Styela clava: one gene and its partner. The protein of the gene in region 2 binds, or shares a complex with, the protein of the main gene of each other region. Links are inferred from orthologs where the notes say so. Each region holds a gene or a part of one and is shown on either strand. Other genes may lie near its edges.

Evidence for each region.
Region 1: the proteins of protein fuzzy homolog (region 2) and ciliogenesis and planar polarity effector 2-like are in contact, whole or in part, in a cryo-EM structure (PDB 7Q3E), measured with the Mus musculus proteins. The link is inferred for Styela clava from reciprocal best matches to the Homo sapiens genes FUZ and CPLANE2. Residues at the interface, in NP_081652.2 of Mus musculus: Arg26, Arg35, Ile109, Val110, Lys126, Glu127, Arg129, Ala130, Tyr132, Cys133, Asp136, Gln215, Ala216, Ala217, Arg218, Asp219, Tyr220, Pro221, Tyr223, Pro232, Leu238, Thr239, Leu240, Leu241, Arg242, Pro255, Leu256, Gly257, Gln258, Pro261; in NP_001074643.1 of Mus musculus: Glu36, Gly38, Leu39, Leu40, Glu41, Arg42, Val83, His84, His85, Glu86, Thr88, Gly89, Ile90, Gln91, Thr92, Thr93, Val94, Lys124, Phe125, Met128, Glu134.

Annotation. Positions count from the first base shown.
Region 1 is NC_135251.1:18,566,757-18,574,401, reverse strand, and holds the start of ciliogenesis and planar polarity effector 2-like, read right to left. Parts: upstream 3,004-7,645; 5' UTR 2,274-3,003; coding exon 2,185-2,273; intron 1,641-2,184; coding exon 1,587-1,640; intron 1,192-1,586; coding exon 1,073-1,191; intron 824-1,072; coding exon 699-823; intron 67-698; coding exon 1-66. Other genes in the region: serine/threonine-protein kinase DCLK1-like, read left to right, coding at 3,230-5,188. UniProt on the Homo sapiens protein: Required for efficient primary cilia initiation, regulating a late step in cilia initiation. Plays a role in the final maturation of the mother centriole and ciliary vesicle that allows extension of the ciliary axoneme.
Region 2 is NC_135257.1:20,600,564-20,607,661, reverse strand, and holds the start of protein fuzzy homolog, read right to left. Parts: upstream 3,008-7,098; 5' UTR 2,628-3,007; coding exon 2,561-2,627; intron 2,075-2,560; coding exon 1,946-2,074; intron 993-1,945; coding exon 828-992; intron 1-827. UniProt on the Homo sapiens protein: Probable planar cell polarity effector involved in cilium biogenesis. May regulate protein and membrane transport to the cilium.

The DNA of each region.
Region 1 (7,645 bases), on a different chromosome or scaffold from region 2:
TTCAAAGCTTGATCTATCGATAAACGAAAATGTGTAAATATAGCAATCAGCATTTGACTGGCATGCCTGAAATAAAAATTGAGAGTTTCTACTCATTAAACATAGAAAATGAAACCTACACAGCATTGAGAGTAAAGATTCAACTTCCATAAATACTTATCGATTTTAAGATCGGTAAGTCTGTTTGTCTGTTAGATACACACGATATCTCACGAAAGCAAGGTTGAATCTGCTCCTAATTTTGCATGTGCATTTATCATATCTCGGACCAGAAGCTTATTGATTTTGGATGAATTATGCCATATAATTAGCGAGTTATTATTTCATTAGTGATGGGACACACGCTGTCGCCATGGAGTAGGAGCGGATGAATCGAAACCGCAGTTTCTGTTTTGGGGAATCCCCTAACTTTCGATCGATTGGTCTTCGGTCTCCGACCGATATTCTCGTTTATAAATTTGTTCTATCAAGTTTTGCAAAAACATATCAAAAAATATTGCTATTACTCAGGGCTTATTTGTGAATTCATAGATCATTCACAGGAAACAACGGAATGAAACACAAGGCTAAATGTGTCAAAGTCGTCAAGTTGAAAAACAATGTAAAGGATTTATAGTATTTTATTTAACATTAAATCTCTAAATTATTTGAGAAAAATTAGTTTAGTTTCAAGTATTTAATAAACGTTTGTTACTAACTGGTAAAATGTGTTCAAACTTTCTTATTGCATTATCTCCAACATCCCATATATTAAGACGAAAGAAGACAACTTTATTTGTCGCTTTCACTTGCACTGGCCAATAAATAGAAGTTGTTTCGATACCTAAGATTAAAAATAAAACATGTCGAAGAATATGTTTTAAATTAGGCCATGGCTTTGCATGAATATTCATTGATCATTCAACAATTTCTAGAAAACCAATGTGACATAAAAGGAATACGTATAAGACTCTATACTAAATAAATCAATGTTGGTACAAAATTGATCACATATATGCTTTATATAGTTACTCTATTTTAAAGTTTATCAATTATAGAGATGTTGTTATATTGGATAAATAAACATGCATACCTGCAGTTTCACTGAAAACATTTGGTATTTTGTTGCCTGCTAACTTTGCCACTGTTGCAGTCTTCCCAACCCCTGATCTTCCACAAAGGAATATCTTGTATTCGACAATAGTAGTTTCTCTGAAAGTTATTGAAACACAAGATTAAATATCAAAATAGATTTGATAAAACAAAATCTGCAGATGCCAGATAGGTTCAATTGAATACTACAAAATATAACATGAAAGGAGTATTTATACATATTAACATATATTGAATGGAAAACAAGAGAAAGAGACAAGTGAAATAAAATTAGCTATGTTCTTAGTTAGATTTCATCAGAAACGAAGGTTCCTCTTGATTCATACTCGTCTTGGGCTATTGTTCCATAAATCCTTAGTATTTTGCACGCAAATATATCACAGAATTCATTATAATATCAGCATAATGACGAAAAAATTAATTGTGTCTAAAGAGCAGGGTTTGCCAGTCTGTAGTGATTGTTCCATATATTTCTATAATAATTATGCACTCACTTGCTAGGTGGCAGTGAAGGCCTTTCAAGAAGTCCAAACTGCCTGCGTTGGCCCCTAAAAAATTACACAGAACATATTCACAGGCAAATATATGTTAGTTGAAGCCATAGACCAGAAACAATAACACAATCACAAAACCCTGTTCAAATAATAAGCAGATTTTGCTAAAATAGAATTTGAGAAGAATGAGGTAGTAGAGAACAAACGATATTCTTATGTTGTGGACCCTGCAGGAAGCCTTAGAATTACATCTATCTGTAAGGTATGCTGGCATGAGGGAGAGATGTACCCAGTAAATTACAATGAAGTAGTCTAGCTGTATATACAGATATATGTTTATTTCCCTCAAAAATGTAACAGTATCTGCATAAAAGCTAAACGGTATAAAAGAGACGGGATACATGTTCAAGACCTTTCTGGCCTAAGACACAGATGTGCGACATGTACCCCAACAAGTATAACTGCATTTCTGCTGCTGATCTGTCTATTAATACACTTAAATTGTCAATCTTAATACTTCTAAATTTCCCCCAAGCCGAACTATATATTTGGCTATTCAATCCAACAAATTCATTCCAATTTAAAACAGTATTCGTACCTGTGTAAAAGGGACTTGAAAAATTCATTTGCGAATTCAGTTCGATGCCATTCCACATCAATAATATCTCGTAAAGATTCGTTTACCATAATGACCACACAGTTTGAATTTGTCTTCTCAATGAAGTGTCAAATATCAACGCGAAGGCACATCTGTTATTTCACACCAAGATGCACTGGAACAAAGTAATTACTATCGAATCGAGTAAAACAGCGACCAAATGAAATAAATTTGGGCTATGGATGATCAGAGCATAGTAATAGATTTTATCCTTGTGAATCGTAACTTAATTCTTTTTTCTCTTCGTTTGAAATTTCTTCTCGGATCGACGGTGCAGTCTGTCGTACCATTTGGTTTTGTTCGTCGCGAGCGAAAGTTCTCTCTCGTCGACTTGTGATTTTGTTTGTTGTTATGTGTCGCTGGGCGTTGTTTGGGCAGGATTGTCAGACTGGGCTTAGTTCTAATGAAATGTTGAATGTGATGAGTATTTACAGATTGATGATTTCATTTTCAAGTGTTTATTTGAAAAGTAACAGCGTCATTGACTGCGTTTGGCAGTACACAAGTAGAGGACTACCGGTATGACATGACTGTATGATGGTATGAATCATTGAATGCGGTAATTCTGTCATAAGATGCGGCTCTTCAAGTAATCAATTCAATTTTGTGACAAAACGATGTCTCAAAATTTTTAGGAAATTGATCTTGAGGCAAAAGGGGTAGTCTAGAAATAGGAGAGGAAAATATGATTCTGTAGTTTTTACATTGTCAGATTGTTTTGCGTGCTGATGATAGGCTAGTACTGTAGTACTCGCAGACTTGTCCCAATGGTGATCTACAGATCTAGTCTATATACAGGAAACCTCAATAGTCTTTACCGTCGGTACAGCATGAGAAATTTTGTGAAATCTAGTCTATTTAAATTGCGAATCTGTTTTGGTCAGACTACTAAAAAAGAATTATAACTTCTGAAATTATCTTTTAGCTTATTTGTATGCTATGTGTTTTGGTTGTATTCTTTAACTTCATTTGAAGGACAAATAGCATGGTGAATGGCGTCATGCAGCGCTCTATTGCAGAACATTTTGCATCTGAGAAGTCTCGATTGATGAGAGGGACACGTAGTCCTGCTCACAGTGCTCATTCAAGTTTTTATCGCACAAGAACCCTCCAACACTTATCACAAGAAAAGAAAGCAAAGCGAGTACAATTTTATCGCAGTGGTGACCGTTTTCATCAAGGTATCACATATGCTATTTCAAGTTCACGATTCCGTTCTTTTGATGCCCTTTTAACTGATTTAACTCGTGCACTCAAAGATAATGTTAATCTTCCATTTGGTGTCCGCTCCATTTTTACTATTGGCGATTGGCGAAGAATTACCAGTTTAGATGAGCTAGTGAATGGACAAAGCTATGTCTGCTCTTCATCTGAAACCTGCAAAAGACTAGATTATCTGCGGAATGCTTGTCCGAACTGGTCGCAAAACTCCGAATTGAAGTCTAGATCAATGTCAAGATTACCTGATGGTAGACAATCTTTCAATGATCACAATCGATTGTCAGAGGAGCGAAGATCCTCCTTCAGATTAAATCGTGATTTTATTCGACCAAAATTGATTACAGTTATAAGAAATGGTGTGAAACCAAGAAAAGCTATCAGAATACTGCTCAATAAAAAGACAGCCCATAGCCTTGAACAGGTCGCGAATGAAATAACCTCGGCTATAAAGCTTGACACAGGTGCTGTCAGAAAAATTTATACACTTCATGGTAAGGAAGTCACCCAGTTGAGTGATTTTTTTGAAGATGATGAAGTTTTTATTGCTTGTGGATATGAAAAGTTAACTCATGATGATTTTGAAATCAATAATTCCGAACAAGGCTTCACGAAACCTATCTCAACACCACAAGCTCCCAGAAGAAGTTTTCGGGTGAAATCCAGCGCAAGAACGCAACCTCCTCAGAAACCCAAATCAAGGATGCGGCAGAGTCAAGATCAGCGAGAAGGAAATGTGACTTTAAACCCCACTAATGACTTGACAAGATCTCTAGCGGATGCTGAAAAGGATGAAGATCCCATCATAGCTTGGCCTCGAGACCTTGTTCGACAATATAAAGTTAGATCAATGCTGGGTGATGGAAATTTTGCAACAGTGAAGGAATGCATTCACCGCACCAGTGGTATAAGATATGCCATGAAGATCATAGATAAAACAAAAGGTACGGAACCGGGCCACAAAATCGAGAATGAAGTTTCCATCTTGAAGAAAATTGAGCATCCAAATATTGTCAGAGTATTGCAAGATTTTGTTACAGAAACTGAAATTTTTTTGGTAATGGAGCTAGCGGAAGGTGGCGACCTTTTTGATGCGATTACATCAGGTTCTTGTTACACGGAACGAGATGCAAGTGGCATGATTTATAATTTATGTAGTGCATTAGCTTATCTTCACAACCTCAATATAGTTCATCGAGATGTGAAACCAGAAAATCTTTTGCTTTTCGAATACTCAGACAGCAGTAAGGCATTGAAACTAGGAGATTTTGGTCTTGCGACAACGGTAGATGGACCGTTATACACAGTTTGTGGAACACCAACATATGTCGCTCCCGAAATTGTGTTACAGCAGGGATATGGTGTTCAAGTTGATGTTTGGGCTGCTGGTGTCATAACTTACATTCTTTTATGTGGATTTCCTCCCTTTCAGTCTGTTAAAAACCTGCAGGAAGAACTATTTGATTCGATTCTATGTGGACATTATGAATTCCCTTCTCCTCACTGGGATTTTGTTTCAAAGTCTGCACAAGACCTCATCAACAAAATGTTACAACATGATGTCAAAATAAGATTAACAGCATCTCAAGTTTTGGAACATCCATGGGTATCTGGAGATGAAGCCTCTGACCATGACATGAAGATGTTAGTATCTCATACCATATTATCTCATTTTCAGCGTCCAGCATCAGGAACTCATCAGCGTGGTAGTAAAAAAAGAATGTAAGCACTGTACAGTATGCCATTTTTAAATTTAGTTTCTGGTTCCATCAAACACACAGGAAATCTGTTACAAGTACAGTATGTTGCAGGCTTTGGGATTTTCCACTTTGTATATTAACATGGAGCACTTTTTCAACACACTGAAAAACTTTTTTATATAACTGCTTCCAACATCCGATTGCACAGTTTTTCTTTCATTTCCTATAACAATCATTACAAAATAGCTTTTGTTTTATAAATCGTGAATGCAAATACCAAGCTGCTACTTTGTGCTCAATCATATCTTAAATTAGGAATTTGAGAGAACATTTTGGTCTGAATTTTGTTGTTCTGTATCGGTGGAATCATTGTAAAATTTTGTAATATTGTGTCCAAAATATGTTCCATTTGTCTGCACTGAAATATATTATCTGCACGGGTATTTTTTTTATTATTTGTTTATATAACTGGTGAAATATGGTATAAAAATATTTTATTTGGCAAATTTTCTTTCCGTTAAATTTAACCTTTTTGAGCAGTCTGGTTAAAATTCAAATTTTCGTGTATACTTCAAATTTCTAGTATACTTTTCAATAAGCATGTGATTTGAAAAAAAATCGCTAATGAAATTCTCATTGGTACCCCAATATAGCATTTTGTTTGTCTGGTATTTTTTTCTTTAACTGTCAACTCATTGTTTGGTAGTATAACTATTTCCTTCCATCAAATTTATTTATGCCAGATGTGCTCTGACTGCGATTGCACACATTAAAAAGATATGAATTATTCATTAGCTTCTTTCTTTATTATTATTTATCAGAAACCAGTGTTATATTTTTTACATAGCATATGCCATCATCTTGTACATTTCATAGTCTATCACTGTTTTTGTATGTATTTATACCACCAGCAGGAATATTCAAGTTGGCTTAATGCCTGGTCGATCTCTCAATTAATTTTGATTTTCTCGAATATCACATTTTTTGCTCTAGGTAACAAAAGTTGTTGAATTTTACATTCTCAACTTCTAAATCGTTGTTATCAATGTATAAAATTTATTCCACTAAGGGCTGGTGATAATGAGATTCATCAATTTATACAAAGTTTAACATGAGCTATATTCTTGAAAAATGTCGAAAATAATACAATCAACCAGTGTTTTTTGCATGTTGTGGAAAATTTCCAAATATATGTACTGATTGTTTTTGTTGAAACTTGGCTGTTCTTGGGATTGAGAGGGAGATTCTTGGGATTGAGAGAGAGATTCTAAGATGGGGTACAAGTAGGCTTACCATACGTCCCGGGATAGTCCGGGTTTTAGCATGTTTTTCCGCGGTAGACCTGCGGCTTGTCCAATCCGCACCGTCCCTTTTTTTGCTCCAGATATATGGTAAGTCGAGGTATAAGTCAAGTTTTTTAGGAAAATTTTTTTTTTATAGATGAGACTTTAATGGACCTGGGTTGTTATTAACAACCATTATCCAAATGCGCCCCCTAACCTACGAGGAATCGTATAAATATATATCACCTAAAGATGAGACGCGGGGCTGCGTTCCATTCAGACTGACATTGGTGTGCGGTATTGGATAGGCGATGAATTGTCACAGTTCCGCGGTATAAAGAGCGTAATCTGACATTCATCACTCACAAAGTTCAATTTTTACCTCTGGCAATTTTATCTGCTAGTTGATTTTATAGCAGCGTTATTATTCACTGTATCATAGTACTTGGTTCCGATTTTAAATCTTGCATTTGTATATCTCAACTATATGCGTCTTTCTACCAAGGCGTTTGTAAAAAAGTTTCTTTCCATATACCTATTTTATTTCTCGGGGAAGTTGTTGGATTTTCGACAATATGCTGGCAACAATTCGAGTGGTAAAAAAAGTAATCTCATTTAAAAAAGCCTGTGTGCATTAGGGTTCTTAACAGATGCTTAATAGCATGTTTCGCAGACTGGCTTCTGTCATCTCGTCGATGCTCCGTCATACTGCCAAGACGACCGTGCAAGTAGAATGAATAATTTATTACTTAATGTCCTTACAACGGATCATGAAACCATACCAGGCCCAGAATATACCGGTAGAAAACACTAGCGAACATATTCGGTGCCTAACATACCGTAGCGTGCTAAACATTTGTGGAAATCTCAAATTACAGTTCTTGCTGGTATTAACGCGATGAATCAGACATTTTTCGATGAATCCTCACCGACGAGGGACAAAAGCCGAACTCCCCAGTGGATTGGACGCTGACAGTATTGAACTTCGCTCTGAATTTATTAAAAGTAGATATCATCATAGCAAATCGTTGCAATCCCACAGCGGGCTAAACGATAACTAACGATCGGTTGGCGACGAAAATATCAATAATGCCGAATATTAGACGAGGTCGAAGTTTCTACATATTATTTTTTCATCTACGTTCACGATATACCACATTCTTATCATGGAAACCCATCTCTAATTTTTCTCTGAAACTG
Region 2 (7,098 bases):
CATCGGAAAACTGACAATAGTGCTCAGATATATGAAGAACCTGATGACGCATAATGCATCCCTCTAAATCTTAGTAGTTTCAATAAAACCTGGCATTTTAGTATAGTCTATAATTTTGGACAAACATGTGTTTCCCTCGCTACTTGGTGAGTGTATGAGATTTACATTTTTATAAAACGCTTATGAGCAATGTTCCCTCTAATTTTTCGTAGTATGTGTGCGCAGAAATTTTGGTGTGTGCGCACTTTTTTGGAAATGACTAATATTTGTGCAAAAACCAATGGAGAAATTTTGGCGTTCTAACCGGGTAATGGGTGGGCCAACAACAAACTTTCTCAACCTGCCAACCGAGAACATTGTTACATTACATCGAAATACGTCTGTGCGCAGTAAATCTATGCGTGTGCGCAGCCCCTGAAAGCTGTGTGCGCGCGCACACGCGCACACCTTAGAGGGAACACTGCTTATGAGTGACTTTTGCTCTAAACAAGACCATACAAGCAGCCAGTGGCATTGCCCTGGGTGTGCAAGCGGGCATCGGATTAAATTTAGAGATTTATCAACTAGGCCAGCGGTTCCCAAACTTTTTGTTCTTGCAGCACCAAGTTATCAGGGAAAACTCACGAACGCTTACACAAAAAAAATTGCTGCTTTCAAGTAGTCCTCAGTTTTGTGATCTTTTATTTGTATTTTATGCATGAATTTGAATTTTGTAAACATGAAGAATAAAGGCAATGTCACCCAACTTCCATCAAATTATCTTGGAACAAAAATCCGGTGGTTCATTTAAAACAAAAGGGCCACATACTGCTACCAAATAATTTTACCTGTTAGCAAAACCAGTGAATGGAACACGTTATCTAAGATCCTCAGTAAATGAGCATCAGAAATTGTAGCCTCTCTTATTTCGGACGATTCCTTCTTCTTGTCTATTCTATCTGTATCTTTCTTCGACTTCTGATTTGGCACCAATGCTATGAGAACTATGCTATCTGAAAAATAAAAATGCAATTCTGAAATACAATTTTGGCCCAGCAGTTGGCACACTAAACCCATTATTAGGACCACGCTTAACTATCGCACAGTTGATCACACTGCATAAGTTCCAAGGTTTGAACCCTGTGAAGGATAATTGTGTGCGGGGGAATTGCTGGACCTGTCGCAATTTAAGGGGGTCAATATAACTGCTAGTCAGTTACGGCTTCTTCTTCCATAAAGTCCATGCATTTCAAAGAAATAAATAGCTAACTAATCCCATACCCACCATGGACTGGTAACTGGATGAGAGGTTGTGATTCACCAAATTATTAAGCTGTCTTATTTATTTTACTCCTTCAGGATAAATATCCTATCCTATGAATGTCATAACAGGGATGTCCGAATCGATTCGTGATTGATTTAAATTATCAATTTTAAGAATGCTTAAGAAGTAAATTGATGTTTTATGAGTTTCTGTACAAAATTTCGTTTCCAGGCAATAAGAATTTAGATTCTGAACGTCTGTATGGCCCAGCGAAAACATGCTGCACTTGGACCAGTAAGGCACAGTTCTCTAATTCCAAGATGTTCCGACATTTGGCTTAATAAAACAAGCACTGTATTATTTTCTGAATTGAGGGCGTCTGATACAACAAAAGATGTGTCAGATTGTGTTATGTTTGTCTTGATAATATTCTAGATTACGTTGATGATGACTATTTTTAGATTGCGCTTCTTTTTAGTTTATTGCGCAAATCCGGTTTGTCGGTTTATGCTGAAACGAGGGCCATACTGTCTCGTAAAAGAGGGGTTAGCATAAACTGTTATTATTGATATCTTTCAATGTGGGGGATATGCTTTGAATCGCAGAACTGTGCCGTACTGTAGACTTTGGCCTTAGAGAAGTATTTATAGGGTCGAAATAAACTTACTTTTTGATATTTGCTCAAACCCTTAATTTTCATACCTTGATACATTTTCCATACAATCTTATGATCTGTGGTCAACGTACTAACAAGAGTAACATCACGATTTTGGGCGAATAGGTGAACCCCATTCAGGGATGCCATCACAGGAAATGATAATGGTGGAGAACCTAGAGAATATAAATTCGATATTATAGTTACTGATGAATGAAATTTGGTTTAAGGAGATAGTAGGATTTATTGTTTCCTAAACCGGTGAAACAAGCATTTTAACAATAAAACTTTACAACATACTGACATACACAAAATTTATCAGTATCGACTGGGTGAGCAACACGGCCGTCAGAGTTAGTTTTATATTACTGTATTAGAGTATGATCAATTTATCCTGTGGAAGAGCAAAAACCATATCAGCATACCGCATGGCGAACCACTGCCTCTTGTACAATTGGCATATTGGTAAAATTTACAACCTGACAGCATATATTTGTCTGTCTTGATATGGATATCTTAGTTACACCCGACTTGATATACAAGAAACCACAGATCTTTTAATCTGGGTACTTTTGTACTTGTACCGGTACGGTACCGTGCTTTACCATAGGGTACCGGTATTGCTTAGCTAGCCTATCGGGGATTGAAAAAAGGGATCTCACCTTGCTTTGATCTTGTGAAGAGTGGTAGTCCTCCAGTTGCAGTCACACATATGATATGCTCAGCCATGATATATATTTAACAGACTCAGTCTGAGACTGTCAGTAGTTTACAGATACAACCAGGTAATTGTTAAGTTATGAAAAAGACACCGTTCGGGACGGCTAAGATTTTCAAAATCCGAAGCTCTTTGGTGTTTTTCCCCGAAGTTTTTTTTTTTTTTTGCCAAATAGAATTCCAGTGCCAATATGAAATTCAATTATTTATAAAAATTTTGTCCAGATGAAAGTGAATTAATAGTATTTATGTGTATTTCCAATTTTGGTTACAGTAATTGTACAGAAGTGACTATTCCACAAAAGAACTGGTTATATTCACTTTGGTTTTCCCTAACTGGGCCGTTAGTTGTGAAAAGCAGCTGGAAACTGGGTAACCGATATCCGGATAATCTAACGACACGGTTCGTGCGGTCTTTAGGCGATTATGCTGATTAATTGCTTATTTTTAAAGGCATACTTCGTTGAATTTTGACAGACGGACCCATTGTGCCCAAGAATCTGTCCGAATGTGCCCCACAAATGCTGAAATGGGGTACAGTGGGACACTTGACAGAAATTTTTCATAGCATTTTGGTAGTAAGATGTGTGTCGCAAAGAACTTTCTTAGTTGCTGAATAAAAACTACATTTACCCCACCCAATGAGCATATATACAATGAGTGGAAACTTGCAAAGATTTGCTCATTATGGCATTTTTCCCTGCATTTTTACGTCGTCCAGCTAAATGGTTCGTTGCATATTAAGAAAACGCGTTGCTCGCTGCCAACATCCCTTGCTTCAGCCGAGTCGGGTGCGAATTTGGCCGTATTAACTTGACTTGAGGTCTTTAATTCTTCAATACATATTTGATTTTGGGTTTCGAAGTATGGTACGCTGGAAGCATACAACTATGAGCATATGCTTATTGGGAATGCATATCTATTAGACAGAAAACGTATCTACAGAACAGAATATGAACCAGTCGCCGAGAGGAGTGCGGTTATTTATGTATTTATTAATTGATATAACATGGGATTTACATATTTATCCAAGGGGAGAGGAAAGCCGAAAAAAAGGTCTAAATATATGGCGAACCACGGCCTCTGTCAATCATAGCTCTGTCCTCCATATGAATCACATGGCTGTGCGAGCTATTCGTTCACTTATTAAAAATACTGATTTTAACTATAAATTACTCTGGGATATCTTGCCATTGAAAACAAAAGCCAGAAATTGGAAGAAAAGCAGGGAATGAAATGTGTGTATTATGTAATGGAGAACCTGAGTTTGTTTCACAAATTTCATGTATTGTAAATTTACAAAAAATATTTATGAAGATTTTGTTTTAGATATATTAAAATTGATTAGAATACATTTTGTTATCAATATGATTCTTGCATATTATTTAATTTTAACGATCCTTTATATAGTCGTATAGATACTGTTGATTTGGATGCAATTATACTTTTGTAATCAATAGTGAGAGATATTTCATGACTGCTATTAACTATGTGAGCTATTTTCTTCTGCAATCCAAAATATTTCCTTCGTCTGCTATTTACTATGTGAATTAATTTTTCTGTAATGTAAAGTATTTGCATAACTGCTTTTACTATGTGGGCTGTTTTTTCGGTACTTTCGTAGTATGTGTACCAGGTTAGGTTACGATTCTCCTTATTTTTGTTCTATTAAAAGTTCGGGAATTGTCTGTGTTACACAAGTGAATATTCCCCTACCGATAGACTTTAGTTCATTTACACAACTTGATATAAAGAAGGCGAACAAAATTAGTTACCTTCATATTGGTACACATACTTCTGGAGCACCATTTTTTTTGTAATGTAAAAAATATTTAATATGTGAACTAATTTTTCTGTAATGCAAAATATTTTCTACAGCTTCTGTATTTTTTATATGTCACTTTTCATTTCGTCGATAATACACATTGTTCATTCTTTGTGGAGTTTTTGGTAAATTTACAGATGGAATAAGACCGACATTCAGCTTTTTCTGTTTCACAACTGTAATACAAAAAGGTACTCTTGAAGTATGTAAACCCAGTTGGTAGACACGGGAACCATGTGTACCAGGTTAGGGTCTACTACATACAAACTTTTCAAGCCGCACCCCCTTTTTAGAATTTGTGAAATCTTGCGCCCCACCTCAAAAATAAGCTACAAATAACAGTAGTAAGGCGTAGGTATGTTTTATTGGAAAAACATGTGGAAAATACATGGATGGAACGAAATAAATGACAAGTTTTGATATGCAAATATTTACAAGTTTTGATATGTATAAAATTAGCCAAGTCCAGAAGTCAGTATTTTAAACCAATAGAGAGAGAGAGTTTATTTCGTTCGTCAAACCATGAACACATATAAATTATAATAAAAAAAAAGATGCTCAGGTGTTTGACTGGGAGACAACGTTACAACATTTCGGGTCATTTAACAGGTTCGATGTTAATTCTTCAATACCTCTCATATACCGTATTCGCTATATATATACATTATTCACAAGAATTTTTGATTTGGAAAGTACTAAATAATCATGTTTTGTCCTAAGATAATCATTTATTCAGCTGATAAGTTGACATGTATTGCATATCAACTGCATAAAAATGGGTTAGCGAGGATACCTATTATTTGGAAAATTTGTCTACTAAAAATGAATGTAATAGGACATGGATTTTTTATAAGCAAAGATGGCGAAAATTGTATTATTATAGCACTTTAATTATAAACATTTGATAATAGTAACGAAATCATGAGTAGATTTCTTTATACACTATAATTTGAACACATTAAATTATAATACTTGATTATGACTGACAAGTGATTTGGAGGATAGTAACACACAATAATACATGATCAGGGTTTGACCCTTGTCCAGCAGATATATATATATATGAAATAAAGTGCTCATGTACATATCTATATTCGGCTACAGAGCACGTAACATAGAATGAATTTTAAGGCGAAATATTGATAATATACTGAAATAGCAATGATACCCAATAGGATATTTTTAAATAAGTATTACCGGTACTAAAAAATAAATAAAGTGCTCATATACATATAGATATTTGGATACAGAGCAAGTATCATAGAATGAAATTTAAGGCAAAAAACTGATAAAATACTAGAATAGCAAGTATAATAAACATTATGATACTTTTAAATGAAGTATTACTAAAAATAAATAATGTGGTCATGTACATAGATATTTGGATACAGAGAAAGTGTCATAGAATGGAATTTAGGGCGAAATATGGATGCAAGTATGATAAACAATTTGATATTTTTATAAAAAGTGTTACTAAAAAATAAAATAATAGATTATGGAGTTCCAGCAAGTGTGCTCATAACAAATAAAAAGATAGCAATTCATTTACCACAGTGAATTAAATTCATTACACATTACTACTTGCTATAACACAGCGGGCACATGATACTCATCGTGTTTTAAACTTTTTTAAAGGTTTTGCTCGCTCTCCAGAACTCTCCATTTTTTATTTGTTTGTATTGTCAGATTGTGGACTTTTCAAAATAAACTATCTCTATCTATATCAATGAATACAATATCCCAGGTCCCCACTTGGCTGGTTCATATTCTGTTCTGTAGATAAGTTTTCTGCCTAATAGATGGTATGTATTCCCAATAAGCATTACAGTATGCTCATTCGTTCACTCAATGAGTGATTTTAATTACGGTAAATATAAAATAATTTATATAATATAAATGGGTTCATATTCCATTTTGCATCCATGATCCAGTATTTATTTTGTTCAATTCCAGTAGTAATCCATACCATAATTAGGTTATTTTAATAAATGCATTGATATAAAACAATAAAAATAAAATTAGTAAATATAAAATACATATCATAAACATTTAATTTTTTTGTAAATTTACAATACATGAAAATATGTGAAACAAACTCAGGTTCTCCATTACATAATACACACATTTCATTCCCTGCTATTCTTCCAATTTCTGGCTTTTGTTTTCAATGGCAAGATATCCCAGAGTAATTTATAGTTAAAATCAGTATTTTTAATAAGTAAACGAATAGCTCGCAGAGCCATGTGATTCATATGGAGCACAGAGCTATGATTGAGAGAGGCCGTGGTTGGCCATATATTTAGGCCTTCTTTTCGGCTTTCTTCTCCCCTTGCATAAATATGTAAATCCCATGTTATATCAATTAATAAATACATAAATAACCGCACTCCTCTCGGCGACTGGTTCATATTCTGTTCTGTAGATACGTTTTCTGTCTAATAGATATGCATTCCCAATAAGCATATGCTCATAGTTGTATGCTCTCAGCGTACCATACTTCGAAACCCAAAACCAAATATGTATTGAAGAATTAAAGACCTCAATACGGCCAATTTCGCACCCGACTCGGCTGAAGCAAGGGATTTTGGCAGCGAGCAATGCGTTTTCTCCATATGCAACGAACCATTTAGCTGGACGACGTAAAAAATGCAGGGAACA